Linked DNA regions of Xenopus tropicalis. The protein of the gene in region 2 purifies or fractionates together with the protein of the main gene of each other region. This does not show direct contact. Links are inferred from orthologs where the notes say so. Each region holds a gene or a part of one and is shown on either strand. Other genes may lie near its edges.

What was found.
Region 1: the proteins of sympk (region 2) and cpeb1 purify together in Homo sapiens (affinity purification with mass spectrometry; 3 studies listed by BioGRID and IntAct, counting the BioPlex papers as one, with this or other methods). This does not show direct contact. The link is inferred for Xenopus tropicalis from reciprocal best matches to the Homo sapiens genes SYMPK and CPEB1.
Region 3: the proteins of sympk (region 2) and cpsf3 fractionate together in Homo sapiens (co-fractionation; 6 studies listed by BioGRID and IntAct, with this or other methods). This does not show direct contact. The link is inferred for Xenopus tropicalis from reciprocal best matches to the Homo sapiens genes SYMPK and CPSF3.
Region 4: the proteins of sympk (region 2) and cpsf2 purify together in Homo sapiens (co-immunoprecipitation; 8 studies listed by BioGRID and IntAct, with this or other methods). This does not show direct contact. The link is inferred for Xenopus tropicalis from reciprocal best matches to the Homo sapiens genes SYMPK and CPSF2.
Region 5: the proteins of sympk (region 2) and cpsf4 purify together in Homo sapiens (affinity purification with mass spectrometry; 4 studies listed by BioGRID and IntAct, counting the BioPlex papers as one, with this or other methods). This does not show direct contact. The link is inferred for Xenopus tropicalis from reciprocal best matches to the Homo sapiens genes SYMPK and CPSF4.

Annotation. Positions count from the first base shown.
Region 1 is NC_030679.2:94,723,223-94,729,928, reverse strand, and holds the start of cpeb1 (cytoplasmic polyadenylation element-binding protein 1), read left to right. Parts: upstream 1-2,890; 5' UTR 2,891-2,966; coding exon 2,967-2,981; intron 2,982-6,706.
Region 2 is NC_030684.2:70,983,417-70,989,613, forward strand, and holds part of sympk (symplekin), read left to right. Parts: intron 1-1,978; coding exon 1,979-2,044; intron 2,045-2,121; coding exon 2,122-2,175; intron 2,176-2,271; coding exon 2,272-2,345; intron 2,346-3,163; coding exon 3,164-3,290; intron 3,291-5,128; coding exon 5,129-5,378; intron 5,379-5,461; coding exon 5,462-5,632; intron 5,633-5,803; coding exon 5,804-6,046; intron 6,047-6,197. UniProt on the Homo sapiens protein: Scaffold protein that functions as a component of a multimolecular complex involved in histone mRNA 3'-end processing. Specific component of the tight junction (TJ) plaque, but might not be an exclusively junctional component. May have a house-keeping rule.
Region 3 is NC_030681.2:137,815,510-137,821,189, forward strand, and holds the end of cpsf3 (cleavage and polyadenylation specificity factor subunit 3), read left to right. Parts: intron 1-373; coding exon 374-526; intron 527-626; coding exon 627-735; intron 736-1,185; coding exon 1,186-1,284; intron 1,285-2,215; coding exon 2,216-2,310; intron 2,311-2,612; coding exon 2,613-2,700; intron 2,701-2,879; coding exon 2,880-2,949; intron 2,950-3,334; coding exon 3,335-3,431; intron 3,432-3,974; coding exon 3,975-4,079; 3' UTR 4,080-4,257; downstream 4,258-5,680. UniProt on the Homo sapiens protein: Component of the cleavage and polyadenylation specificity factor (CPSF) complex that plays a key role in pre-mRNA 3'-end formation, recognizing the AAUAAA signal sequence and interacting with poly(A) polymerase and other factors to bring about cleavage and poly(A) addition.
Region 4 is NC_030684.2:87,346,087-87,351,585, forward strand, and holds the end of cpsf2 (cleavage and polyadenylation specificity factor subunit 2), read left to right. Parts: intron 1-298; coding exon 299-601; intron 602-1,818; coding exon 1,819-1,953; intron 1,954-2,893; coding exon 2,894-2,986; 3' UTR 2,987-3,119; downstream 3,120-5,499. UniProt on the Homo sapiens protein: Component of the cleavage and polyadenylation specificity factor (CPSF) complex that play a key role in pre-mRNA 3'-end formation, recognizing the AAUAAA signal sequence and interacting with poly(A) polymerase and other factors to bring about cleavage and poly(A) addition.
Region 5 is NC_030685.2:47,253,168-47,259,364, reverse strand, and holds the end of cpsf4 (cleavage and polyadenylation specificity factor subunit 4), read left to right. Parts: intron 1-748; coding exon 749-901; intron 902-1,351; coding exon 1,352-1,447; intron 1,448-1,506; coding exon of another isoform or gene 1,507-1,536; coding exon 1,537-1,630; intron 1,631-2,302; coding exon 2,303-2,375; intron 2,376-2,459; coding exon 2,460-2,630; intron 2,631-4,865; coding exon 4,866-4,934; 3' UTR 4,935-5,280; downstream 5,281-6,197. UniProt on the Homo sapiens protein: Component of the cleavage and polyadenylation specificity factor (CPSF) complex that play a key role in pre-mRNA 3'-end formation, recognizing the AAUAAA signal sequence and interacting with poly(A) polymerase and other factors to bring about cleavage and poly(A) addition.

The DNA.
Region 1 (6,706 bases), on a different chromosome or scaffold from region 2:
TTAAAATCTCATATTATGTACAAATCAACAGTTTCTCCTTCCTTAACATGTTATAGTCCAGGGAGCGCTTAAACAGTGCGTATTATGATAATGTGTGTATATGTATATTGTTAATGTTATATGTATTTATATGTATTATGAGATTTTAATCTGTTGTTTTCCATATGGAATAAAGTTTGCTTTTAAAGGAGACATATCATATAAAAATTAAGAATGTACCAGAGAATTATACTCCTCTAAATATAGGATTGTGCTTAAAAAAGTTATATATTGAGACATTCCACCTAAACCCCAGTAGTCCCGCCCACCTGTTCCACTTCCTGCTGACTGAATTCTCTGGATGTGCAGGGGAGCCGGCGGCTCTCAGTACATTGCACTGTAGGATAGGAACCAATCAGCAGCTAGGTTGACCTGATAGGGAACTGAAGCCTGTCTTTGCTTGTGTGAGTGCAGGGCTGTGATTGGCTCTCCCCCTCCTGCTGTACTTCTGGCAGGGACTGTTAGGACACACCCACCCTTTATTTGAAACACAGACAGAGACCTGATTGGATCTATAGGGAGCTACAATAAAGGGGCCATGTTTACAGACTGTATTTAATTTTAGCCCAAACTGAAACCAGCACCATCTAATATTCATAATTATCCTATTAGCAGGAGAGAATTGTATCCACATCCACTCCATAAGCTTACTACTGTATTATTCATAATTGCCTACAAAATTAGAGTTTTTCCATTCATCCAATATGTCTCCTTTAATTATTCTCCGCTTAGAGCATGTTTTTTGTTTTTATTTTATGTTCCCTGATAAGGGGTAACATATTAACATGACGTATATTTGCCATTAGATCATGTGATCATGGCGCCGCTGCTCAGTGCCTGAAAGAAGCAAGAAGAATGAATGAAGTGTGTTAACGCTGCTGCTGGTTTAAATGTATTCTGACTAAAATTGATTCAGTCGCTGGTAATTGGAATACAAAGACTGAGAAAATTGCTGAAAACTTTAAATTGGAAAAAAAAACTTGACTCGAAGTCACAGTTAATCATTTTTTTTAAACTTTGTTTTTAAAAATATAGCTTGAATGCTCAAAATACACTTTCTGCTGACTTCTATAGAAGATCACCACGTTTTAGCAGCCTAATTTTATTTATTTAAATTTCTAATGATAAATCTTGAAAATTCCCATGCGGAAAACTCAAAAATGTATTTATCATGGTGTTACCTGTACCCAAGCTGTCCATGCAAAAAATGTAGGAAACCACTGGCTAACCTTGAAAGACGGGTGCCGAACCTCCCTTCCAAGTCCCTTGTGATCCAGTACTTCAGTTCATGCTTTCGTGTGGGCAAACATTACATAGTCCTCCAGCTGCACATGTAGGCCAAATGTGCATATAGAAAAGGAATATGCCCAAGCACAAACAGAGATGGAACAATAAAGTGTCTAATGATTGAGCACCACTCTGTGTTCTTTGTACAGTGGATAGAAAATTCTCTGAAATAAATTCAAAAAATGCTCTGAACAAATATACAAGTATCTATATTGGCAGTGATAAATAGCTTTGAGTAGATTCCAAGCTCTGTAGCATTTTGGGGGCTATTTATGGCACCCAAAAAAAATGTCCACAGGTATCCAGAAACATGATATCCAGAAAGCTCCTATATCCAAAAACCTGATATCCAGATTTCTAGAGTTCATGTAAGCAAATAATTATTTATTTATTTATTTATTTTAAGATTTGCTTTTTCTCTTTAATAATAAAACATTAGATTCTTTTAGGTGGTAACTAAGCTGCATAAAACTGTACTGGTGGCAAAACTATCCTATTGGGCTGAGACACACAGGCAACACTTTCAGATTTTTGAAGGGTAGGGGCAGATTCTCGGCCTGAGGATGTGCAGGAAAAGAATCTGCCCCATGTGGCACTAGCCTAAAATAATATTTGCTATGTATACCAGTAAGTTATAGTTATGCCGCTGACACTGTAACTGTATGCCAAGCCTGTAGTGAGAAGTCCCTGTATTTAAAAGTGTGTGTATGACCTTCATACCCATTAGTTAGCAGCTATGCTGAATCCAGTGGGTTTCACCATAGTATAAAAAGTCCTAGGCCTATTTAGATTTTGGAAAAGTTATTAGGAGCATTTTTGTGCAACAAAGTATGATTTCTAACATTCTAAAAATAACCGTTGTTTCATACAATATGGAATTCTAACTTCTTTAAAGGGTTATTGACACTTGACATTCACAAGATTGGTACAGCCACGCCACAGTATTTCTACCATATAGGTTGCTCTCTGCTTCCCCTAGGCTCTGGGTTACTGTATCGTTTTGGGGAAAGTGTCAGGTAAGTTAGCCTTTAAATCCATCTCCTTGGCCAATTCTGACAATAAAGAAAACGTTCTATGTGCGCACACTCAGAAACACGGATTAAAAGAATGGAGCAAGGTTTTATCCATACATTATTCGGGTTTGCGTGTATAACGTATACACATGGCAATCTGGCCAGGGCTAATAGGTGCGCAATAAATAAACATATTGATTCGTTTGTTTTATTTATTTCTTTAATAAAAGCGCCGATAGGTTTCGTCTCCAACGCATAATCCTAACAACTAACAAAGTATAATAAGTATTACTGTCACTGCAAACACAACAACCTGTTGCTACAAGTAACATGAACAACCAGAGCCAGAACAATTTCCCATTACCCCAGCACAGTGGGCAACTCAAGCAGCACGTCCCTAGCAGCACCTTTACTTCCCCTTTAGCAAGCGCTCTCCCGGCAGGTGCAGCCAATAAGCCGCACAGCAGTTGGGGGCAGGGGCTATAAATGCGCCCCTCCCGGCCCAGTTGGCTGTTGCAAATACGAGACCGAAGCAGTGCCATTGTCTAGTGGGGGAAAAAGTCACTGCATGCAAGTCCAATTTGGATTTAAGTTTTAATTACCCAACCCTGACCAGGATCCTGTGCCATGGCCTTCCCACTGGTAAGGCAGTTTAAACGCTAGTTTGTATTTGGAGGTTGTAGTGAAGGTATGGCCTTAAATACGAGTGCAGCCAAATTGGAATGGACTATATACTAGATCCGTGTGTTTACTTGCTAGTTTTGCGTTAACTTGTGCTTATGTGCAAATGGTGGCGGAGGTTCATGCTGTGCGTGACAATTACTCCATGCACACTGCATTGCGCCACTAGGCTAGTAGTATTGCGGGAGGCCTGGGATAGCCATGCTGAGTGACTAATATTCACTTAAATGACTTGTATTTTAAATGGCTTTATATAAATCCGAGTAGTCTGCAAAAAGCACCTTAATTTAATACAAACTGGCAATGTCAGCTATTTTAAGTCTTGGATGAAAGCATGGCTGCATAGATGAAATGCCTGGTAGGCATACATATATACTTGTATAAGTGTATTATCGCTGCAAGTCGGTGTGTTCTCGGCCTACAGTAGGCCATCTAACCTGCAGCTTTCCAGTTATTGTTGGAGCAGAACTGGTCTCCGTCTCTTGGGGCTCAGGGAGTAACAACTGGGGAACTGCTGCCTAGACATCAGAAAGCTCTAGAACCCTGATATCGGAGACAAATTAGTTATTTGTCTACAGTAATGGCATTCACGCGTTAATGTGTTATTTCAATATACAGATTTTTCCCTGCAAACCTACATGCTTGCCTAGAAGGTCTGGCTGTCAACGACTGTACGTGCCTCGGATACACGGTATTTCCCCTGCATTACAGGCATAGGTCGGATCTTGGCCACTACTATTTGCAGGCTGATTGCATGGTTGATACAATTCCCAGTGGAATCAATCGCATCGTGGAGAACACACCGTCCCTGCCAAGTAATACCTTGAGCCTACCCCTTGCTCAGACTCCAGTTGCTGGCGCTGCACATACACCGGCATGGTGTTGGCAAAAGGCGCAGATGGTGGTTAGTCAGGCCAGCATGAGGGATAAGCATGTGTAGCTCCGGCTTTAGTAAGGGCTCCATTGGCTTGGTGATTTAGTGACTTTGACCTTATAGTTATATCTCTGCATTACGTTTAATATACTGGCGGTCGCCTTCGCCGGGGCGCAAACCCTGGTGACGCCGCAAATTGTGGGGGCGCCAGAAATAAGCATTATGATGGAATGCACTTTACGGACTCTCAGTAACAGAACTTTATGCTGCTGCTATACTTGCCAACTGGTAACGGTACCAAGTGTCCTAAGATGCCCGTTTATATGTAGCTTTCCTGCAGATGGCGGCTGTTCACGTCTAGTTGGACAACAGTCCTACACTTTTCCTAACATTAGAAGCCTAAGCCTTACACTCTGAGTTATGTCAACAGGGGCATAAAGAAGTGTATTTGTAAGGAGCTAGAGTAGTGTTTATATAACTGAACTTGTAGTTGTCCTTCGGTGGAACAAGTTTTGCAGAGTTGACTGATGCTTGAACATTGGGTTTCAGTGACCTGCAATACAAACCTTTAATTCCCTGCGCTCAATAAAACACACACAACATAACCTTGCGGCGATTATGGCGTAGGGGACGGGTGACCGGCAGTGCGCTAGGGTGCACACAGGTAACCGGCACAGTGGGTGTGAGGGTGGCGCGCAGTTGCAGGTGCTGCCGCCTCGTGTGCGCACACGTGTGGCCCCGCCCCGTTGCCAGAGAGCCGCATGCGGTGGGAGGAAGCGGGAAAGCTGCAGCCAGAGCCCTACGCCATGTGGTCCCGACAGGTACTTCAGCTGCCTTGTAGTTGGCTAGTGAGCGTGTTCTGGTTGGAATGGTAGGGGCACTGTACGTGCAGCTGGGCTTATGCAGCCTCCGTGTCAGAGAAACAGTTTTCCATGGAACTGCGGGAGCAGCCGCTGCTTAGTAGGCTCTTCTCTTTAGCTTCCGAAGCTTTAGGAAACGGCGTGTCCCGACACTGGGATGGCCCAATGCATGCTGAGGGAGACTTTTAAGCCCATTGCTGGCTTCAGTGTGTAAGTGGGGTACCATAGGGATGTCTAACATGGTACCCCACTTCCACACGGGATGCTAAACAGTCCCTGCCGCCTTACCCTCAGCCGTTGTGATGTTACTCCTTTTTCCAAACTCTATTTAGAGATAAAATAAGTGAAGCCTATTTCTTTGAAACATTGGTTGGACTTAAAAAATATTGGGGGGGGGGGATTGTAATTAAAAATAGCAAGTGCTGTGTACAATGGCATTTTTGCCAATGTATAGTGCACCTATTACACTGCATTTATTGCATTGCCAAACCTTAACAATTGAAGATGGTGGAAACCTTAATGTGACAATTGGTTAGGATGCTTTTACATGCACTGGCACTTGCGCAACTATATATGCACATAATTTGTCTGTTGCAGGACAAATTGTTTGCAAATGTTGTTTTTCTGTCCTGCAGATGCAGAATTTGTCTCAAAGCTAAAATTCTGTCCCGTTGCAACCTTTTTCTGTTGGTGACATGTATTAGTCTCCCATTGGGTTTTAAGGCATTTTTGTACCTTTTTTTCATGTAAAGGTTTTCATCTTTCTCTATGAAACCAGTCACACAGTGCCAAGTGGGCCAGACGGTTGAATGGCTTTGTCAGGCTCAGCCATTGCACCTCTTCATGACTGCCATGTTTTACGCAGGATTTGTGACAAAACTCTGATTTGTTAGATGTATAACAAGACTGCTGTTTCGGCCACTCCTGAAGCCAAACTGAGAGAGGCTGCAGGAGCGGCCGAAACGTCAGTCTTGTTATACATCTAACAAATCAGAGTTTTGTCACAAATCCTGTGTGAAGCGGCCCATTTTTTCCTATTTGTATATGAGGTAATTAGCTTGGTAAGGAGTATCCTGATGCTGAAGGGGTCACAGTATGTCCTACTATGAAGACCAACAACTATAGTGTGACAGGATTGCAGCGCTGTTAATTCTCCCAACTGGGATATAAAACTTTGAGGAACTGTTCAGCAGAACTGCAGCTGCCAGATATTGTATGATGATGTGCTGCTTATTTTGTTACATTGTAATACTTGTACCAAGGCAGCAGCCATACCCTCCCACTCTTTGACATGTATTTTTTTTTTTTTTACCATGGGTAAACCTTTTACTTGTGCACATGCAGCCCCATCCCTGGTTGCCACATGGGTGATGCTAATTGCAAAAAAAAAAAAAATTTTTAACTTGCTAGTCTGAAAGTCAATATATGAATTAGATGTGCAGTGTATTTGAAATCATTGGCTTTAGTAGGTTTTTGAGCATTTGATGCCAAAGTATGAAATAAGCATTGGGTGTTAGTTCAGGTCAGGAAAAACTTAACCCACATTTGACCCTAACCCTCAAAACCATAACCTCACCCTAACCTGCAAAATGTTGCCATTGTAGGACCCAGCCTGTAGCCTCAACTTTCTTCTCTGTATGCTACTTCTGCACGGTTTCAAGACAAGGAAATATTTGGGAGCAGAGGAAGTGTGTACTTCCCAAGTCTGACCTGTACCAATCCTGAACCTGAAATGGTCGCCCAAATTTCAGCTCTGACCCGCCTAACCTAAGGGTAAACCCACAGGTCCCGTGGCTTGAGGGTCAATCTAAACATCACTATTGGGCATACCTTACCTTTGAGGACATAACAAACCATTCTTGATTTAATCGGCAAAAAAGCTAGAACTTTGGTTCTGTATCAGTTTACTATAGCACTTAATCAATAAAGATCCCTTTGTCTTTCTCCCCAGT
Region 2 (6,197 bases):
GGAGTTAGAAGAAGCTCTGTAGAATACAATAGTGTTTTATCTGTTATCTGCTAAGTGCCTGTGCCTTTTCTCCTTTGAATGGCTGCCCCCATGGCTACACAGCTGCATTCTTTATATAAACCATAGTAGTGATTCTGAGGCAAACACAGTTTGTACCAGTGCAGAGCAGCAGTACATTATATTGGAATTTCTTTTATACACTTGAATTTTTTGGTTACTGTTCCTTTAAATGAGATCCTGGAATATGAATAGGAGAGGGACTGAATAGAAAGATAAGGGAAAAAAGTAGCAAGAATATTAAAACTGTGAGCTCACAAAGCAATAGTTTTTGGCTGTCGGTGTTAGCGACCACCATTTCAAAGCTGGAAAGATGTAGACATGGAAGGTAAATAATTTGAAAACGATAAAAAATGAAGACAAAGGAGCTCCTCATCTTGGATTTTGTTAGATGTGTATGTGACACATGTTAAGTGTGCTCTAGTCAGCTGTTAAAGAATGTTAACCTTTAAATGAATATGAAATTGATGAGAGCTTTAACCCCATTATCCACTTAGAGTGGGGCTACTTCTTAATTCCCCCCCCCCCTTTTTTTTTATTTTCTTCTCTTTTAAAGATAAATGCTGTTTAATACGAAATTGCTTTATTCTGACATCCACTCTATAAAAGTTAAAATGCAAATAAAAATTATTGAAAAGAAATTGATGAGAGCACTATTCTAAGCACTTTTGCACTTAGCATTCATTTTTTCCCCAAGATTTGAAGATATTAAGGAGAATGTGTACTGTTAATTTGAATTCATTTTGTAACAACAGCACTAGCTGCTGGTCTGTTTCCTCCTCTGATGTAGTCAAGGAAATTATTAGGTGAAAGATGGTCGAACATAACTTCTCTTACATCTTTCCAAACATCATCATTTTAATATAATCTGGTCCTCAAACATGAAAATGAGAAATTATTGGCCAACTACATTTAATAAATTAGACAGGACTGCTGTAGTAGAAATCACTGCATGGGCTTAGGACTGCTTCCTGAAAATGATTTTGTGTGAACATGGTTAGTCATTGCATCCACAAATACAAGTTAAATCTCTACCACGCAAAAAAGAAATCATAAATAAACTTGATCCAGAAAAACAGCAACTTTCTCTGGACCCAAGCTTATTTAAGATAAACTGAGTTGAAGTGGTGAAGGCTGATGTGATGTGTCCTGTGGTCTGATAAATCAAAATTTAAAATTCTTTTTGGAAATCATAGATGGTGATCATAAATGGTCCTTCTTTTGGGCTAAAGAGAAGGACAGCCCTGCTTGTTATAAGCACACAGTTTAAAATCCAGCATCCATGATGGTATGGGGGGTGCATTAGTGCACACAGAATGGGTAGTTTGCACATCTTGGAAATTATGTTGAAAGATATATGCAGGTTTTAGAGCAAACTATGCTGCTATTCCGATTATGTTTTTTTTTTTTAGGGAAGACCTTGCCTGTTCCAGCAAGACAATGCCAAACTGCATTCTGCATGTGTTACAACAGCAGTCTAACCCTGTCACCCACTGAAATTTTGCACAGTATGAAATAAAAAATACAACTGCTGAGCAGCTGAAATCCTATATCAGGCAGGGGTTGTTAATAGAAGAGGTGATGCAACACAGTGGGAAACATGCCCCAGTCTCAACCTTTTTAGAACTTGCTGCTGGCATTTAATTCAAAATGAATTTGTCATGTTTAATGGGTAAATCTTACAGCTAACCAGGAACACACTGTAGAATTTACCAGTAAACTCATATATAGGAAGGCTTGCACTGTAATTGCACAATGACAGCAATCTCATGCTAGTTTGGTCATCGTCCAAATTATTTCTTCCTTTTAAAATCGCCAGGCATGTCAGTCAGCGGGTAGCTGGTCACCTGTTCAAAAGCAAACATGTTATTGGTTACTATGGGTTACTGCACTCAAAATTAATAAATATTTTATATTTTAGGTTGTGGAATTATTGAATATGGCTGCTCTTGCTACAAATGATTCCAAAATTACCATGCTTAAACAGGTAATAATCAATTCTTTATACCCTGTTTGCCAATACACAAAAGCAGAGAAAAGTCAAATGTAAAATTTTATTCACAGGTTCAAGAACTCATAATAAACAAGGACCCCACTTTGCTGGACAACTTTCTTGATGTAAGTGAGAATTCCAGATTGTCTGTGGTGTATGTTGAATTTTTAACACTCAGTAGTTTAGTGTTTTTAATGTCATTTTTGATCTTGTTTGTATAGGAAATAATTGCTTTTCAAGCAGACAAATCTGTAGAAGTCCGAAAATTTGTGGTAAATTTCATAGAAGAAGCTTGGTGAGTTAACACAGGAACGTAAAGACTTTCATTGAAATACAAAGGTATTTGTAGACTAAAAAGCATGACAACTTCAAAATAAATGTTTTGGATATAACTGGATCTGATTGGATAAAAAAGGGTTTAAAACAATATAATATATGTATAAAAGAAGCTATCTTTAACCTAGACACTGGGAATCCTCTTAGGGGTTGCTGCAGAAGTCATACCTAGTTGCAAATGAGTCACTGGGGCGGAGGGGGGTTTAAGGACATATTGGTATATTGCTATATGCCCTTACATACTGTATACATATATGCTATTCTTACATACCTAAACAAATGTTTCTCAAATAAATGTAAAAGTATTATGTGAATATAATACACAAAAACAATGTACCAAGGCTTATAAAACTGCTTTTCTAAATAGCTAAGGAAATATTTCACAGTTGGTCCAGGTATAGGATCTGTTATCAGGAAACCCATTAAAAAGTTCTGAGTGACTGTGAAGGCCATCTACCATAGACTCTATTTTAAGCAAAGTTCTTACATTTTTTTTTATTTCCTATGGTTTATTCCCCCCCTCCACTTATGTTACTGTATAAAAAGCAAAATAAAAATCAATCACATTCAGTTATATACTTAGAGATTGGCTATCATGATTTTACAATATCAGTATAGAATAAACTGTGATTTATTTCTAAGTATCCTTTTTTGTATTGATATGTTATTTAGTTCAATTGGTTTACTTGTGTCTAAAAACTTTTTTTCCAATAACAACTTAGCACTGATACTTGTAGGCGACTTTGCACTCACTCATCTTTACTTCACTCTTGCCAGTAAACTGGACAATGAGCTTCTGATTAAATTAATCGCCAACCTTCATATGCTACTGAAGGATGAGAATGTCAATGTGGTGAAGAAGTCCATTTTGACCATGACCCAGCTGTATAAAGTGGCCCTTCAGGTAATAATGTGTGTTAATTATTTTGTATTGTCTTGAATTACTTATTTATTGCTGTACACTGTTCATTTTAGGTATTTTACTCACATTGCCAAATTTTAATTAGTATACATTTATAATGAAAAGGTAAGTAAGCTATGATATTGCAGGGTTTTTTATTTTAGATTTTGAAACACCACGTAGTAGAAGAACTTTTTAGGAAACATAGCTATAGGTGTAGACACCTATGGAGAGGGCTATATCTCCCAAAATGATTCACTGTTGCATGACATTAAAGGAGAAATAAAATTACAATCATTGGGGGGGGTGCCAAAATGTTAGGCGCCCCCCAATAATTTTAATCACATACCTGAAGCCCCCAGCTGGTGCTCCTGTTGGGAGAAAACTGCACTGGCCGGGGTGTGCATGAGTGAGCATTCCTCTTCCTCCTTTGGTCTTCGTACATGCGCAGTTGAACTTTTTTTCATCGGTCGGGATAACTATCACTGGGGAGTGCCTAACATTTGCCCCTCCCTACTGATTTAGCCTTTCCTTCCCCTTCAAGTACAAATAATATCAGTAGGGATGCACTGAATCCAGGATTCAACCAAGATTCAGCCTTTTTCAGCAGGATTCGGATTTGGCCAAATCCATGCCTCTGTTCGAACCTAATCCAAATCATGTGACTTTCTGTCAAATAAACATGGAAGTTGAACTTGGTTCCCATGTGCTTTAGTTCAGAGAAAGTATATTGTAGAGAGAAAATTATTTGATAACATTTTGGCATACACACATCCTACAACACTGGCCATGCATCTTGGGTATCTGATGGGAAATTGTCATATAGCAAAACAATGTACAAAAAGCACGAGAAATGCAATTGTAAAATCCTGGAAAGTTTCACTGAAGCCCCTATCAAGGTAGGCTTTGGAACAACTGGATAGGGGGAGACACATGGTCCTTGGGGACCTTGAACCCCAGCTTCACAAGCAAGTCTTGGCCTTCTTCCAGCTACCGTGTGTTGCCTGTTGTTACAGTTGAAGGATAGGCGGAATTGGAAAAGCCAACGATACTGGATCCCACTAATCTATATTTACCCCAATGTTCTGACCTGGAATGATGGTCCTTAGGCTCAGTCACATGAAGACTGAAAGGAGGCTTTGCATTATTGATTAACTCTACCACAACTTCATGCCCTTTTATATACTCTAGAGCATATATGTCAAACACAAGGCCTGGAGGCCAAATCCGGCCCACCTGGCTGTTTTACATGGCCCTTGGTGAGTGTGTCTGACCATCCAGCCTGATCAGTTTCCATTTTCCTCACATAGTAACTAATACTAAGGGGTATATTTATCATGCTGTGTAAAAAATGGAGTGAAGCATTACCAGTGATGTTTCCCAAGGCATCCGATCAGTAATCAGATTTCAACAGTAGCAAAGCATTTATTGGCTGCTATGAGCAACATCACCAGTAATGTCCACTTTTTATACATTGTGATAAATATACCCCTTAGTATCTTACTAAGTATATTAATAAAAAATGTGGCCTGCGACTTAGCCTGTGTTTTAGATTTCGGCCCCCTTATGTGATTGAGTTTGACACCCCTGCTCTAGAGCTTTTACATTTTGTAAATGTTTTGGGAATTTTGCCAATAGTAATTAAATTGTGTTGTCTGTAATCACCAGGTGGTATTTCATAGTGCTCAGAGAATTGGCTTGTGTTCATATTTATATTTTCATCATAAGTTGTCAACTTTGGACTAACATTTTTGGAAGTCTCTTTGTTTCTTGCATCTTTGTCACAGTGTAATTTCTATATCTCCTTGCTTCCTTTTCTTATTGACTGATCTTTCCTGCAGTGGGTTGCTCGCTCCCGCCCTCCATCTGAGCAACAAGAATCCTGCTGGGACCTTGTAACTGAGATGGCTGCAGACATCCTCCTCTTGTTGGAATCGGATAATGATGGCATCCGCACTCATGCAGTAAAGTTTGTAGAAAGTTTGATTGTCACCTTGTCTCCTCGTACCCCTGACAGTGAAGTTCCAAAAAGACAAGAAGGGGACATCAGCCTAGAGCAGATCCCTTCTGACCATGCATTCCTTAAATATAGTGAGTTTATCAATAACTTTTGTCTCTTATGACCCTTTAGCATATATTTTTCTCCTACATTCTCCTTGCCCTTTATTCTTCAGATACACTGCGAGATGTAGGAAAACAGGCTGTGAAGGAACTTCTAAAGTTTATGGCTCACCCTGCTATCTCCAGCATCAACCTTACAGCAGCCCTTGGATCTTTAGCATCGATTGCTCGACAGAGGCCGATGTTTATGGCAGAAGTTATCCAGGCTTATGAGACCCTGCATGGTACGGAAAAACATTGCATGCCCTATTCTAGACTTTAAATTCTCTAATCCCTAAATATTTAAGGCAACTTTATAAAAGTAGTGCTTCCTAGTAATACTGTGACCATGTGTAATATCTGAATCATCATACTTTTAATTTGCCATCCTGTAACCTCTCTCCTCACCTCTACAGCCAACCTACCCCCTACACTAGCAAAGTCCCAAGTGAGCAGTGTGCGTAAAAATCTCAAACTGCAGCTATTGAGTGTACTGCGTCATTCATCATCTTATGAGTACCAGGGGCCTATAAGTACTCTCCTGTTAGACTTGGGTACTAGCCAGGGAGAGATAACCAGACATCTTCCTCCGCCAAGGGACAGCAACCGGAAAAGGGCCAGGGAAGATGGTGAAGGGGGACAAAAGAAGAGCCGCACTGGTAAGATTAATGTTATTGTCAAAACAATACAGTAAAAATAAGTGTTTTTTGTTAGAACAATACAGTGGTGTTAAAAATTGCTTAGGGCAAACAGGTACAAAGCATAAAGATCGACTTTATCCAACATATCACAAGTCTCTCCTTTATATGC
Region 3 (5,680 bases), on a different chromosome or scaffold from region 2:
AGTATCAGTCCCCACCTTGTTTCCCCATTCCTGCAATTGATCTCCCTGTTAGGCTTGCACATCCCTTGACGCAATATGTGCCATAAAAAGCATTGGAACTGCCAGCACAGCCAGTTGGAGTTCATCCACCTTTAGTCCTAGAATTATTTATATGAATGAACACTGCAGTGCAATTTTATCAGTTATATCAAATCCTCTATTATAATTTCTCTGCTAAAGGACTCTGAATCCCCACACTCATTCTGGGGTCAGTTTTGTTAGAAGCCACTACCTGGGCTATAAGCAAATTGGACTCTGTCGCTTTGTACTTTTATATTTAAAGTTGTATCAACGATGAACTTCCCCTTTAGGCATTTATTTGTAATATCCACAGATACTGGTGCATGGGGAACAGAATGAAATGGCAAGGCTAAAAGCTGCTCTCATACGAGAATACGAGGACAATGATGAAGTAGAGATTGAGGTTCACAACCCCAGGAACACAGAGGCGGTGACACTGAACTTCAGAGGAGAAAAGTTGGCAAAGGTACAGCACTGCCCCGAAAGACAGGGCCCACGTTGGTTTTGGAATGCAAACTGCTGCTCGGTGGCATTTTCAGATTCACATTGCAGTTTCTGTCCACCAGGTGATGGGTTTACTGGCAGACAAGAAGCCAGAGCAAGGACAGAGGATTTCAGGGATCCTGGTGAAGAGGAACTTTAACTATCACATACTTTGTCCCAGTGACCTCTCTAGTAAGTGAAGCCGCAGTGCAGCTCATTTATTACCACTGGGCAAATTTGCACTTGGGCAGTAACCTATGGCAACAAATCAAATGTTTGGTTTTAATTGTTCTACCTCCAGGTGGGTAAAAGAAATTAATCACTAATTGGTTGCTTTGAGTTGCAATAAGACAGGGGAGAGCCAGTATTGCAGATACGAACGTCATGTATATTATAGAGCCCCTGGCTGCTTTGGCTCTGCTAGACAATAAGAAGGGAAAGTGAGAGTAAGGGGAGCTACGGTAGATTATTGTTCAGGGTTTTTATAGAAACTGGAATGACATGGTATGCTAAACAAATGTATTTCCTTCTATTGTATAACATTATATTTAAAATCAAGGTATATGTCATCTTTAATCAACTTAATGTAATGTGATTTAATGTAGTATAGCTAACTGTAATTCTCTGTTTTTCTGTCTGTAGGTTATACTGACTTGGCCATGAGCACCGTCACGCAGAAACAGGCCATTCCATATACTGGCCCTTTTAACCTTCTGTCTTGCCAGTTACAGCAGCTTACAGGTAACATCCTTTCTTATATATACACAAAGGGTCATCTCTGCCCTGCCTGACCCCTGTGACATTCATTTCTGTGATGGGCTGATACAGGACAGTGGAATCGCATTGAGTGATAAAGCCATAAAACATTACATTTGCCCTGGGGCCCCAGTGTCTGAGAATGTCCCTAGTTAAAGTGGAAATTATATAATATTGTTATGTGTAAGGTCATTGAGGGTGCTGTTTTAGTGAACCTGTCACTGAAGGACAGTAGATAGTCTATCCCCATGTACTTAATGTTTTCTTAGGTTGGGAAATGAGGCATTCTGACTTACCCAGGGCCCCGAGGGTAGGATCCATTTTGGCAAACCTAAGACTGCAATCCAAATGGTGATCCATTTTTATCACCAACATTCTCCCAAGTGACGGGTTTTATTGGGAGCTATTGATTATAGACTGGAGAGCAGGGAAACCACTCAGCTAGCCCTGTCCTTAAAATACATTTACTTTTCCATGTCAGCTGTGTTGCACACTAGCATACATCTAGTTTGTATTATAGGGAGATACGGCCATATTGGTTAATGAGGTAGGGACTCCTGACTGATATAGAGAGAATGGCTACAACTGGCAAATACAATATGCCATCTGCTTCTGTCCCATAACCTGCCGGCCTTTCCCTGCTTCCCCCCTGATCTCCAATTCATCTCTACATACTATATACTCATTTCCCAGTCTGTCTGACCTCTCTGCATGCTCCCTAATTTCCATGTCTTGTTCCCCAATCTTTGTAGCCACCCCATCTCTTTTCAATATCATGTGAAATGATGAAAATGTATATGACAGAAATGTATATTGCATGTATTGTATAGGACTTGGCATTAAAACCAACAGGTGCTGCCAGGGCATGGGCATCAGGCAGACCTGCTATAATAAGCCTTTCTCTCTCTCCTTTCAGGGGATGTGGAAGAGATTGAAGTGAATGAGAAAGATGCACTGAGGGTATTCAAAGCTGTCACTGTTGTGAGGGACGCTGGGATGGTGTACCTGGAGGTAACTTTATATCTCACTCTGTTCCCCTGCTACTAATATCTGCCTTGTGGGAGAAACAGTTGTAATAGTGGTACCCACTATGGTTGCTCTGGTATTTTATCAGTGTGAGTGGAGCTGCCATATTGTGTATCTGGGTTGACCCACTCTCCATATAGAAAACAGGCAATGTATCTGGCAATGTGCCTGATCCCAAGGGATAATATCAGCTTTAAAGAGTCTGTGAACATTTATAGGGCCAGTTGGTAATGGCACTTGGCTTGTATTTCATATTCATTTAACATGTGCAATGTTCTTTCTCTCAGTGGGTAGCAAATCCAGCCAATGACATGTATGCAGACACCGTAATCACAGTCATCTTGGAGCTTCAGTCTAATCCAAAAGCCAATAAAGGTTTGTGTTGCATAATGATTTGTCTTGTGCTTACTCCCAGCTGTCTAAATGGAAGTACAACTAAGGAACCAACAACTCTAGAGAAACTGTCCCCCCCCTATAGGCTAATGAGATGGTTGATAAATGGTTATTTGTCAGTACAATAAACAAACAGGATGTATTTTCTTTGTCTCTTGCAGCTGTAGCCACTAGAGCATCCAAGGAAGTGGATATGGACGCCTACAGGAAGAGGCTGGAGATGATGCTGCAGTAAGGCATATTCTCCATATGGTAACATAGTTGTCCCCTCAGCATTATTCTAGAGCCAATGTGACCCACTTACTTTAGTTGGTACCAGCTGTGGAACCCATTGTTCACATTACCTTACCCAGAACAAACATTAATTCTCAATGTCTGTGTCAGGAACAGGGATCTCTGGATGCAAGTGGTGATTGAACCGCACAACCACCACTTGCATCCGGAGATCCCTGTTCCTGACACATATTCCCCCATCGAAGTCTGCTCCCAGTACATTGGCACCCCTTGAAAAGATGTTCCATATCCCAGATTGTCTATGGGGCTTTGGTAGATACCAAGCTCACAGCTGTAATAACTACACATGGCTTTCCTAAATATTTCATATTCTTCATTTCAGGGATATTTTTGGTGACGATTGTGTGAATTGCGAGGATGCCAGCAGTATCACAGTCACTGTGGATGGAAAGAGCGCCATTTTGTCCATGGAAACACGGGTAGGTGTCCTAACATTTCATAGATTTGAAAAAGAATAGCACCTCCATGAGCACTTTTGCCAGGCAAGATGGCTGAACTCAAGCTGTTTCATTGGAACAGGCCCAGTCTGGCAATGTGTAGGTTCTGGTAAACACACCATAGACAGTCACTATTTATTGGGGCTGCTTAGATTTGAAAGGACAGTTTTGGTTTAATTCTCAGTGTGCACCTAAGCGGAGAAGGAAAAGGAGGAAAATAAACCAGGGTTTCTAGGTGGTTTTACATGGAAATGAAATAAAGAAGGATAAAAAGTTGTGACACAAGGGAAGAGCAGGGGCAAATATTGTAAGGCATAGAGCCAAGTGTTCTCCAGTAGTGACGACCCCACCTTGTGCAGGGGGAGCACTGGAATATTTACAGCATTACCCTGTATAGCCACTGCCCCCCAGGGTTCCTTAGAAAGTGGTTCCAGGGCAGTCACTCCTGTATGAAATCCCCAAAGGCAGCTGTGCTTATGGCCCTAACCTGAGAATATCTCATTGACTTTCTGTTTTGTTCCTCAGACTGTGGAATATGAGGAAGGAATTGATGAGGACGAGACCCTGCGGGAGATGGTCCAGCAGGCAGCACAGAGACTGTATGACGCCCTTTGCCCAGCCAGCCTCTAAACCAGCATGCCATTCTTTTGTAGTTTGTTTTTTTAATATGAAATGTTTTTCATTCCTTTGTAAGATGTAAATCAAATTGTACTTACTGTTCTGAAGTAAAGCACAAAATGTCATTAATTTATCACTAAAAACACTGTGATTGGTTTATAAATAATATCAGAGTTGTCCTTTATTCATATATTGGTGTTCTGTTTATTGTGGAAGCGCCTTATACATCATGCACTTTGGCAAACGGTTGTACAGAAGGATTCCAGAGCTGCTTATGTCCCACCTTAAACAAGAAAGGGTCGGAACTAAGGGTTACCGAGAAGCCGGGAGGTGCCTCTCAGGGCAGAATGTTCATAGCACGAGGCTCAAGTGCAGCCTGCACATAATACAACACACAATAAAGTGCAGAAGATGGTTGATTTACAGGAGCGCCCTCTGCTGTTCTGCCAGTCACTATGGCAAAGGCTTCATTTACTGATAATGGAAGTGTTCCCCGATGCTCCCCTGCTCTGCTCAGTGCTCTCAAGCAGACTATCCAGCAATCAGTACATGTAAATAAGGTCTGCTTGTGGCTTTTTTCTCTACTAGGTGCAGGACATAGAGAAGAAGGGGAACACTACCCAACAACTACATAATTCCACTGAAAAGGGGCCACAGGCACTGCACGACTCAGGCTAGCACTGTGAGAGCTTTGAGCCCCAATAAACTATAATATTATAGGTGAAAAAATTAGACCATACATTAAACTTCATTCTATTTAGGTTTATTCTCTTTACATAAATAGATGGTCATTAATATTTTTAAGCAGCTGCTCGTCCGTATTACAGGAGACATTATATTCCAGGTTTATCCCTTCCAGCTGGCTAGTTTCTAGATCCATTTCACATATTTTCGCAGTAGATTAGAATATACCTCCCTTTAAGTTCTGGGTAGCTATTACTGCACCATTGCTATCATAAACCCAGTGACATTGTTTTGCCAGCAATATTGATTTATGCAGCATAGTTACCATACTGTTAATTATTATAGAGAAAAAATTAGAATTATTTGCTTAAAATGAACTCCAGGGAAGGTAACGGGTTTCCGGGATCCCGTACTTGTCATACCTTGCCATATTTTTTTTTCTGACCTTAAAAGTGGGTCTACAGAACCTAGTCCTGAAAGAATCTGATGCAGGGCTCCTTCACCAACAAGCCTGAAGTTCCCTGGTCCTTTGGCTGATGTAACTGCAGGGAGAAACAATACTTGAGGAATAAGTGCTTCATGTCTGACTTCCCCAAAGGTTCAAATTGGAAATCACTAGGTTTTGCTTAAAGGAGAAGGAAATGTTAGGCACCCCCAAGTGACTTAGATCGCTTACCTTTTACCCCGGGCTGGTGCCCCTGTACGGAGAGAACAGCACCAGCCCGGGGTAGCAGCGAGCGCTTCCTCCTTCCTTTTCGCTTGCGCGCACATGCGCAGTAGAGTGAAAAGCCGAACTTAAACAAGAAAGTCGGCTTTTCACTCTATTGCGCATGAGCTGACCGATGGATTTCGCCGGCAGAAGAGAGAGGAAGGAGGAAGCGCTTCCTACAGGTACCCCAGACTGGTGATTTTTTCCCCTAACAGGGGCA
Region 4 (5,499 bases), about 16 Mb from region 2:
CTGAACAGTTCCTTTAAATAGGAAACTGTCTTTTTTGAAAATTGTTATTATACCATGTGATGTTTTTTTTTTATGTGGATCACCCAATACCACATGAAAAACAATAGAAGCGGTATTTTCCATATTTTGTGTGTTTTTCATGTTCTGGTTATTCTTTATCAATGTGTGAGTAGTTCTGCAAAGGAGAGTATGCTAAAATTGTGCATGTGATGCATGGGTGCTTGCTGCACATCCCATGGCTTGTACTAGGTTGAGTTTTGTAAATACAATCATCTAAAAGTTTGATTCTTTTGTTCAGGTAAGACTGAAAGATTCCTTGGTTAGCTCCCTTAAGTTCTGCAAAGCTAAAGATACAGAGTTGGCATGGATTGACGGGGTACTGGACATGAGAGTATCAAAAGTAGACACCGGGGTCATATTAGAAGAAGGGGAATTAAAAGATGAAGGGGAAGATTCAGAAATGCAAGTGGATACTCAAGCTTTGGATGCCAGCGCAATAGCACAGCAAAAGGCCATTAAAAGCCTGTTTGGAGATGATGACAAAGAGTTTTCAGAAGAAAGTGAGATCATCCCAACATTGGAGCCATTACCAAGCAATGAGGTTTGCAATATATGTTAAGTGATTGTAATTGCATGGGCTCTATTATGTGGAATGCTTGGGACCTAGGGTTTTCCAGAATTTTTGGATCGTCATATTTTTTTCCACCAACATGGATTTATGCAGCTTGCTTACCATCAAGTACAATGTACTGTCTTATTTTTTAAAGTAAAAAACGAAATAACTGAAATTAAAAAAAAAAAAAAATTGGCTTAAAATGGTTTTTGGATAATAGATCCTTTACCTGTAATGTCTTTTTTCTCCAGTTTCAAAATTCTTAACAGAGCGGCAGCAAGAAGTATCCAGCATGCAAGTCATTTTATTACTGGTTCTAGGAGATGATCATAGTTTTGTGCTTTGGGGGGAAACACTGCAGTGGAGTTAGTGCTTTTCAGGGGTGCATATTTTAGCTCTGTGCTGTTGTAGTGTGTTGATGTTCTTTTGCATGATTAAAGGTAGAAAGTGCCAAAGTAGCGCATTCATTGCCTGTAGACATTACTAATGTCTTTTCTTTATTATTTATGTGTTTAAATTACCTACTCAGCTAGCTAATGATGTTTGCATATTTCTTATATTCTGTATCACCTGTGTTTGTATATGGAAGTAGTATTTGAGTAGTTTAGGTTATTCCAGAGATAGTTAACACTCTTATCTAATGAAGCTGGATGAGAATGCAGCTTTAGTGCATCGATCAAAGGTCAATCATTAGATGCAACTGTGACTTGACTAGGATTCACTAGATCAATCATGTGTCAATGAAGCTTAAACGTAGCACTGCTTATAACTGTTACAAAATAATTTTACTTATAAGATAGAAATGATTTCGGTATAGTCTTAAATATGCTTCGTGATAATCCTAGGGATTTGCACAACCAGATGATGATTCTGTGCTGCTATTTATGGGAGAAGCTTACCATTAAATTAACTTTTTTGTACGTTATAGAATTACTTTTGCAACAATGTTATTCTCCTCCATGGGTTTATAATGCCCAGTCTCAGCATTGAGAACTGCCACCTATCCAAATCCTTGCTTCTCATGCCTATTTCATTTGCAGGAAAAAGGATTCAATGCTGGAACAATATAAATAAAGTTTTACAAGTGCAAAATACAATTACAGCTATGATAAATCACTGCCTCAGTAAAGATTACAAAAAAAAAATTAGACATTTTAAAGCCCTCATTGTGGCTGCAGTAAACATGCATTTATTACTGTTTACAGGTCCCAGGACACCAGTCAGTTTTCATGAATGAACCACGACTGTCAGATTTCAAACAAGTCCTTTTGCGGGAAGGGATTCAGGCTGAATTTGTTGGTGGTGTGCTAGTGTGCAACAATATGGTAGCTGTCCGAAGGGTAAGTCCAGAACTTAATGAATTGCTTGGTTTTATATCCCAAGCTCAGAAGTTCTCTTCCTCAGTCTCTTCCCAATATTATTTCATGCAGTTAGTTTATTTACTTTTATTTAGTAAATGTTACTTGTCAAGAGAACAGATCTAGATATATAAAATGTAAAAATACACCTGATGTGGGCTTAAATTTGCTTTATATTTGAGTATTTTCAGTAAGAGCTGCTCTAAATTTATGTACGTATGTATAACTTTATTTATAAAGCGCATACGGATGCACCAAATCCACTATTTTGGGATTCGGACGAACCCTGAATGGCTGAACCGAATCCAATATGCATATGCAAATCAAGCTACTGACGGGATAAAAAGAACCCTGTGCATGTGGAAAAATGTTTAACTTCTGTGTTTATGTAACAAAAAGTCACATAATTTTAAGGATTCTGATTCGGTTCGACCAGGACCATGGATTCATCTGAGATGGATGTGAAAGTAAAGTTAGAAGAGCAGGAGCTTGCACATAAAGCTTTCAAAACTTCAAGGCACTTGATCGCCCATTGATGCTAGATCCTTTGAAACTTACTGGCATATCTTATAGTGTATTTAGTGATCAATCAGTTAAGTAAAAGAACTGAAAATATGGTAGCCCTATTAGTTAGAGGGTCTGGATCAGAAATCTGTATAAAAATGTAGTATTTCTTTAAAGGCATTTAAGGTGGCATTGGTCTTAATATAATCCTGGGATGTTTGCCTTATTACAAAAAGTGCATTTTGTTAATTTATTTTGCTTTTCTGAAAATGAGTCATTTACACAAACACCAGAAAATATGCTCTGCAGTACCTTCACATTATTTTCATTTAATTGTTTTTTTACTTAATCGTTTTGTTTGTGTAATGTTATTTGTGTTTGTGTAAAATAAAATGCAATCATTTTTTTTATTTTGCAGACGGAAACTGGTCGGATTGGTCTAGAAGGATGCCTTTGTGAGGACTTTTTTAAAATAAGAGAACTTTTATATGAACAATATGCCATCGTGTGAAGAATGTTCATTTAAAAAGGCATGCCATGTAAAAATTACTTCTGGACTGTCCATGCTCATTTTTTTCTTTTTATATTTTTTTTAACCTGGAAAATGCATAGAAAACCGTTGAAATTATAATTTATGTTACAAATCCAGTTTGTCCTCTTTTTGGTTGGAATTTCATATGTTACCCAGGAACACACACAATTACTTTCTCCCCTCTTTGCTTTCACAAGGATCAAAGTAGTTTATTTTTATGAAGTAGATAACAACATGAAGAAAACATGTAAAGGTAGCGAAGGCTATTAAGTTTAAATTTTGTTCTCATTGGAGGAAGTTCCTGCTTCGTTGGTCCTGGCTGGGACAGGTTTAATTGGAGTTTACGACTGCTCTGTTTGATATTAACACACCATGTTTGGCAGTAAAGATGCGGCATGGCATGTTTGGACCTCTCTGTACCTGAAATACCAAAGCCTGGTTTGAGTCTGAGTCTGAGTCTGGACCTGGGTTAAATACCTGGTGATTTAAAATTTAAAGTAGTCATAAGCCAAAGTACAGTGGGCTTCAGTTTTTAAAATTATTGTTGTTATAAATAGCCATGCCCTGTTGAAACACTCTTACACATAACCATAACCCTGATCTGCTCCAAACCATTTAATTGTGCACCAGGCTCCAAGTATTTTGGGGGACCTATGAATCTGGTTCATCTCATCTGTCTGGGCCCCTAACAGGATGTTCACTTATCCCTTTCTTGGGGCAGCCCTGTAAACAGAGTGTATATACCAGGGATCCCCAACCTTTTATACCCACGAGCCACATTTAAATGGAAAAAGTTGGGGAACAACACAAGCATGAAAAAGGTTCCTGGGGGTGCCAATAAGCTATAATTGGCTACTTAATAGCCCCTACATGGACTGGCAGCCTACAGAAGGCCCTGTTTGACATTATACTTGTTTTTTATGCAACCAAAACTTGCCTCCTTACCAGAAATTAAAAAATAATCACCTGCTTTGAGGCCACGGGGAGCAACATCCAGTGGGTTGGGGAGCAACATGTTCCTCACGAGCCACTGGTTGGGGAACACTGGTATATACCATGCAGGTTCCAACACTCCTTAGCACTTTTTAGGTGCTGCTGCCACATTCAGTTAGTGCTATATCTGTGTATATCTAATATATCACTTACGTAAGGTATTAAAAAATCTGTACTGGAAGTAAACCCTTTAACTCTTTACATGCTGCAGGTTTTTTATCTTGTACTTCATGCTTTCAGTAAACATAGAATGTCACAAATTACAGGGAAACCTATTCTTCATGGCGCTTCTGCAACTTTAGAAAAGTACCTGTGTTTTCCTGAAAATGTACTGCCACGCACAACTAATAATTTTTCAACAGAATCTATTTATAAAAGTTATTAATACATATACTGTAAATTTAAGTGAGAAATATTTTTTCCTGCTGTAGGCAAATTTGGATATTGCTTATAAGATTTTATTATGAGGATTATTAGAGGTGATAACTGTACTTAAAGGGGAAGGAAAGGTAAAAACTAAGTAAGCTTTATCAGATAGGTCTATGTAAATACAGCCATATGCATTTACAGTAATGCTGCACTGAATCCTCTATCAAAAGAAACAGGATTTCTTTCTTCTTTTTTGTAAACATGTTCTTCGGTATTACACTTCCTCTCTAAGAAAAATCCTTCATTCCTGGGGCCAGAGTCTGCAGTTTTCTCCTTTCTTTCCCCCCCTTTCCTGCTCCCCCTTCCAATAAGAATTCATAAAACTCACTCCCCACCCTTAGGACTGTGTAATCTGAGCTATAATGGCTAGACTGTAAGGAAGCTATGAAGACCAAGCTAAAATGGCAGCTGCAATCAGAGAAAGCTTCTAGGGTTCTTTACTCAGGTATGATATAGGTTTCTGCAGAATAAATATAGTGTTCTAGGTGGCAAAAATGTGACAAATCTCTCGGCCTTATATTTAAAATTTGTATGTATAAACGTATAAGTCGGTCCCTAAGGTAACGGCAGCACAGAGCATGTGCAATGAATTAGCAGAAAAGAAGATGGGGAGCTACTGGGGCACCTTTTGGATGCAGAGATCTTCCCTGCTACAGGGCTGTGGTTGCCTTGTACATCATTTCTGCTATACTTTTTTTTTTGTTAAGTTTTAGGTCTTCTTTAAAGTTGCCGTATAAATGCAGATTTGGTTGTGCAGTTTGGTCTATTGTTTATTCTAATGTCTGACCACCTATGCACCACAGCTAACAGTTTGGATAGTTACACTGGGTTGAAAAAAAGACCAGAGTCCATTAAGCAACCATTCCAAGTGAACTTATACTGGCCTATCTATACACTCTCATACATAACCCTATATACCAACATCAATACTAACTGTAGATATTAGTATCACAATAGTCTTGGATATTATGCTTGTTAAAGAACTCATCCAGGCCCCTCTTAAAGGAGAACTACACCCCCAGCTATAAAAGCCCCCCCCCCCCAACTGGCCTGCCTCAACCCCCAGACCT
Region 5 (6,197 bases), on a different chromosome or scaffold from region 2:
TAATGTTTCTTTCCTTATTGACATGATGTCTGCAAGGAATTTTGGGATTTGGAGGATGCAGGCTGAGGCAGTAGACTACTGTTATATTTTATTTGAATCTCAAAGTAGTGATCCAGATAAGGAGGAGAACAGGGGCTAGGCTTAGAACAGTTTAAAACCATATTATTACATTAAAAATCATGAAAAGGCTGCATATCTTTTAATTGATTTATATTGCAAAATTGCTTACACTTTTTGAAAAGTACATCATTTAAGTTGTGTTTGGGTGGAGTTCCCCTTTAAATTATTGTCCACAGACACTTAGCATGAAGTACAGCACAGGGGTGTATTTATTAACATTGGAGATAAACATCACTGGTGATGTTGCCCATACCAAGCTGATCTTTGCTTTTGCTTTCTAACTTGTAGGTGTTTGTCTCCAGTGATAATAAATAATCCCCCAAAATGTTGTTCTTTTGGATGCCCTACAATAGATTGCAAAATATATGCTATTATAAAGAATTAAAGAAATATAATATACAAAATCACTTTATCTCTCTTTATTTCTTTTATATTAGGGATGCACCATTTCCAGAGTTCGATCCTTGGACAAATAAAAGCATTATTTTAAATTGCAAATTAGGGTCCCAGTTTTTGTGGGTATTCTGCCAGTTTTTGAAAATTATGGATTCGGTGCATCACCAATGTACATAGGTAGAGAGAGAATAATATATTTCACTTTTTTAAACTATCTGTCTTATCTGTGCAGGCGGAATGTGTCCGTTTAGACATATCAGTGGGGAGAAGACAGTGGTCTGTAAACATTGGTTACGAGGCCTTTGCAAGAAGGGAGACCAGTGTGAATTTTTGCACGAGTATGATATGACTAAAATGCCAGAGTGCTACTTCTACTCCAAGTTTGGTAAGTGATTGTATTATTTAATAGGTTTTATTGGCATTAAAGTCTATTTTTAAAGGTTATACCTGTGGTGGTCAGTACCTCACTCTTTTTTATATTAAAAAGTTAATGTTTAATTTATTTCTTTTTGTTCTTTTTTCTTCCATAACCAGTGGTGCATGTATTGGCTTATATTATTAACCCTTTACACAAAGCTACTGGGCAGTGTGGTGTATGTTAGGGGATATGGCCAGCACAATCCAGAAAATCTGAACGATTCTTAACAAGACCCCTTTCTAAATTTTTTTTAAGGATTAGTGCACCCACTTTTTCATAAATTCAATGATCAGAGCTTGTGCTAAATATATATATTTGAAGTAAGAATTATGAATGCTTTTTGATTGTTTTCAACCAGATAGCTAGTTTGATAATTACAGCATATTAGTTGAATTATTTTTTGTTTGTATTTGTTAGGTGAGTGCAGTAACAAAGAGTGCCCATTTTTGCATATTGACCCGGAATCAAAGATAAAAGACTGCCCATGGTATGACAGGGGCTTCTGTAAGCACGGTAAGATTATAGGACCTTATAAAATCTTTGCCATTTTATATTGTACAAAGGAATGTCAGTGGCCCTTAATTTATATTATGTCTTTTCAGGGCCCCTCTGTAGGCACCGGCATACTCGAAGAGTAATTTGTGTCAATTACTTGGTGGGATTCTGTATCGAAGGCCCTAACTGTAAATTCATGCAGTGAGTACATTTATTTTCCATCTTCTTCACATGTACTCATTTAGTGACTTTCCAGACATGTGGTATTCATACCTGCTGAATTTGTGTTCTTCCCAAATAACATTTTATAGATTATATTTAGAAAATGTTTGTGTCAAATAGTGAAGGGTAGGGAATTAACAGAATTTGCACAGGTCTGTGCACTCCAAAACAAAGCACAGATATCTGTGTCTGCCCCATAAAATACATTGCTGCCTGTGGTCAGCAGTTCTGTATTTGTGAGGGAGGGACTGGGATAAGAGCTTTTTATGATATCCCCTAGAAAAAAAAAAAGCTCAAATGATTTATAGATAAACTTTTAGTATTGCCTTACTATGTTGTGTTTCCATAGGAGTAAACTGTCAGCAATCTAACTCCACTGCTTTTTTGTATTTGGCCCCAAAACTTTGTATAGGAAAAATGGGGACATACCAGAAGTGTTAGTGTCCCTTTAATGGACAAAGTTATATATGATGAAGACAACCATAGATTTGCTAGTGTTGCCTGAACACTAGCAAGTGATTGTTAAAGCTTATTAATGAGTGTCTTCATTATAATACCCCTTTAAAAAGAGATTATGCTGGAAATATTATCAAACTTTTATGGGGGTTATGAGGGAATTAGACTTACTGTTTTCTTAATATAATTCTGCAGTCCACGTTTTGAATTACCTATGGGAACCACAGAACAGCCGCCTCTACCCCAGCAAACACAGACTCAACAGAAGGTATTTGTCTATTTACACTTTGCAAACTTACACTATGCAAAATTATGGTTTAAGAGTTCTTACAGGTTTATTTTTTATCTCCAGCAAAATAATAACCAGGTGTTACAAAGGTCATCCTCACTCATTCAGCTAACAAGCCAAAACTCTCCTGTCAGCCAACAACGTTCCCCACAGACAATCGGTGTCATGCAGTCACAAAGTGGCAACCAGGGGAACCGGGGACCTAGGCCACTGGACCAAGTTACCTGCTATAAGGTCAGAATTTATCTAATGTATGATCTTTATCTATGATCTTTAAAATAATAGAATTGTTTTTTTTAAAGAATCATTCTGCCTTTCAAAGCATTTGCTCTGTTGAAAAGTTCACCATTGAAAGCTTCTGAAATCTAAGCCCAGATAAATGATTTGTGTTAACACAGGGGGTAAGCCTGAGATATGCAGGGGCATTGCACTTGCTTTTTTTTTTAAAGCACAGCTCTAATCACTGATGCAGTGATCACATGACTAGTGATAAGTGAATCTGTCCCGTTTCGCAGAAAAAATTGCGAATTTTTGAAAAGATTCACAAAAGAGAGGAAATTCTTTGAATTTTCTTGTGGGAAAGTGGGCATCCAACCATTTTAGAGGCTGTTATACATTAATTGAATGTCTATAACTTCGGCAAAGAGAACTAACCCCTAAAAACAAATATGAGCAGAAATGTCATACTTGCATCTATAATTAGCACATAAAAATATATAGCTAAGAAGTAAAATGCACATAAATTTAAAAAATTCAATTGGAGCAGTAGCTAAAACAGTGGCAGGTACTATATTTATAGATGGTTGTACTAACAGGGCAAGAAGGGAAACTACTAATATAAAGAAAAGAGCACCTCAAATAATATGCATTTATACAAATACATAAAAATATTAAAATCAGTACAATAAAACCTTCAAGAGACTAAATCTGATACATTGTCTAGGTAAAGACCATTTATCTGAATTGCCAGACAGTCACATATGAGATATAATAGTGTATGTGACTTTCCAGATTCTATACCTGTAGTGAAATACTACAGGTATAGAATCTATTATCAGCAATGCTTGGGACCTGGGGTTTTCTGATAAGGGATCTTTCTGTAATTTGAATTACCTTACCTTAAAGGACAAGGCAACGCAAAATGTAATTTTTTGCCTAATAAAACAAACCAAAATTCTAAGCACCTTTGCAATATACATTTATTACATGTTTGTAATGGTTTTTGAGTTATTTGTATTTATAATTGCTATTAGAAGCAGTGTTTGCCTGTCCTTTTCTATTCTCTGCTCTGGTGGCTCTGACTGTTGAAACATTGTAACACAAGCCAGCAGACTGACAGACCTGACTTGCTGGAGAAGCAAGACCTTTGCAACATTGTTTAAACTGTAACAACCAGAAGTTCAGCAAATGCAGCTTTCAATAGCAATTATATTTACAAATAACATTTTTAAAGCGCTACAAATTTTTAATTATTTCATATTGGAAAGTTGCTTAGAATTATTATGGTTTCTTTCATTATGCAAAAAATTATTTTTGGGGTTGACATGCCCTTTAAGCCTTCTAAAAATCATGTAAACATTAAATAAACATAGTAGGTTTGTTTAGCCAATAATATTGGCTAAACAATAATAATAATAATAATAATAATATTGGCTTAGTTGCCATCCTGTAATTCAGGATATTGGATTTTAGGATAAGGGGTCCCATACCTGTAGAACATACACATTTGCTGTCCAAAGAAATAATTGCTGATAATTTGTACATAAACGGGACCTGTTATCCAGAATTCTTGTGACCAGATAAGGGGTCTTTCTGTAATTTGGATCTCCACACCTTAAATCTACTAAAAATGTATTTAAACATTAAATAAACCCAATAGGATTATTTTGCCACCAATATGAATTAATTATATCTTCGTTAAGATCAAGTACAAGGTACTGTTTTATAATTACAGAGAATTAGATTTAAATGGAGTCTATGAGAGATGGCCTTCCTGTAATTTGTAGCTTTCTGGATAAAGGGTTTCCGGATAACTAATCCCATACCTATACTTGTTGATCCCCAACCTTTTTTACCCGTGAGCCACATTCAAATGTAAAAAGAGTTGGGGAGCAACACAAGCATAAGACATGTTCCTGGGATTCCAAATAAAAATTGTTATTGGATGTTTGGTAGCCCCTATATGAACTGGAAGCCTACAGGGTGTTCTGTTTGTCAGTACATCTGTTTTTATGCAACTAAAACTTGCCTCCAAGCCAATAATTCAAAAATAAGCACCTGCTTTAAAGCCACTGGGAGCAACATCCAAGGGGTTTCGGAGCAACATGTTGCTCAGGAGCCACTGGTTGGGGATAACTGGGTTACACCCTAAGAAAAAAATTGGTACAAAGCTCAGAGTGCCACTGCACTTAATCTATATTCAAGTAGTTAATTTTGGTATTAAATGTTTCTTTTTCTTTCTTATTGCAGTGTGGTGAGAAAGGACATTATGCCAACAGATGTACAAAAGGTCACTTGGCTTTCTTGAGTGGGCAGTGACAAGTGGTTTGGGGTATGGACATAATTCTTGTAAGGACGCAGTGGACAGACGTTTCCTTTTTAATTTTGACATCAAGATGCTGGAGACTTTTCCTTGTTCTTAAGTAAATATTGGGATATTTTCTGCTATTTACTCTGAGCAGTTTATTGGAATCTTCTCCTGCCAAGAACTGTTTGGCAAAGTGAAAGTTTTTGCCAGTAACTATTTTTTTAAATAAAAAAATGTAAATGTATTTTTATTTCTTTTTATTTCTTTAATATAACTTTTGTACAGATTAGATCAAATGCCAACAGTTCTCTTGAACTTAACATTGTTAATAAAATCTATTTTAGTGATGACTGGAAACTGATTACTGTATCTTAATAGACTTCTAATGAACTAACCAGTGTTACCTATTATTTTAGAAAAAAATGGGTCAAGTTTGATTGAAAACAAAATAGTCATATGAAAAAGTTTGGGAACCCCTCTCAGTCTGCATAATAATTTACGCCACTTTCAACAAAAACGGTAACAGTGGCATGTCTTCATTTCCCAGGAACATCTGAGTACTGGGATGCTTTCTGAACAAAGATTTTTAGTGAAGCAGTATTAAGTTGTATGAAGTTAAATCAAATGTGAAAAACTGGCTGTGCAAAAATTTGGTACCCTTGTAATTTTGCTAATCAAAGGCTATAGGAGGTGTGTAGAGGCTGTTACATTTGCAAAAGGAGGCTCAACTAAGTATTGATGTAATATCTTTGTTAGGGTACCCAAATTTATGCACCTGTCTAATTTTGTTAAGATGCATATTTTCTGTTAATCCAATAAACTTAATGTCACTGCTGAAATACTACTGTTTTCATAAGGCATGTTATATATTAAAAGGAAGTTGCTACTTTAAAAGCTCAGCCAATGATAAACAAAACTCCAAAGAGAAAGAGAGGTTCCCAAACTTTTTCATAAGACTGTACCTTTATTACCCCATTATGTTAGCAGACATGCTCCTTCTGACTCCATATATACACTACATTCTATGGATAATAGGCTCAGAGTGCCACAGAATGTAGATTCGATGTTCTCCAGCACTTCTTGGTGTAAATATGAGCCACTCCTTTATTCCTTTGCCCCAAGCAAAAAGTGGAAGGGAACAGGGCAAAGTAACTAAGGGGCTCCTAGCTAGTAGCAGACACATGGAAACAATATGCCAGCACTGGACTGGAAATCTGTAGGTTCTGGTAGCAGCCATTGGGGCTGCTGCAAGGTGCCATAGACAACCACTGGGC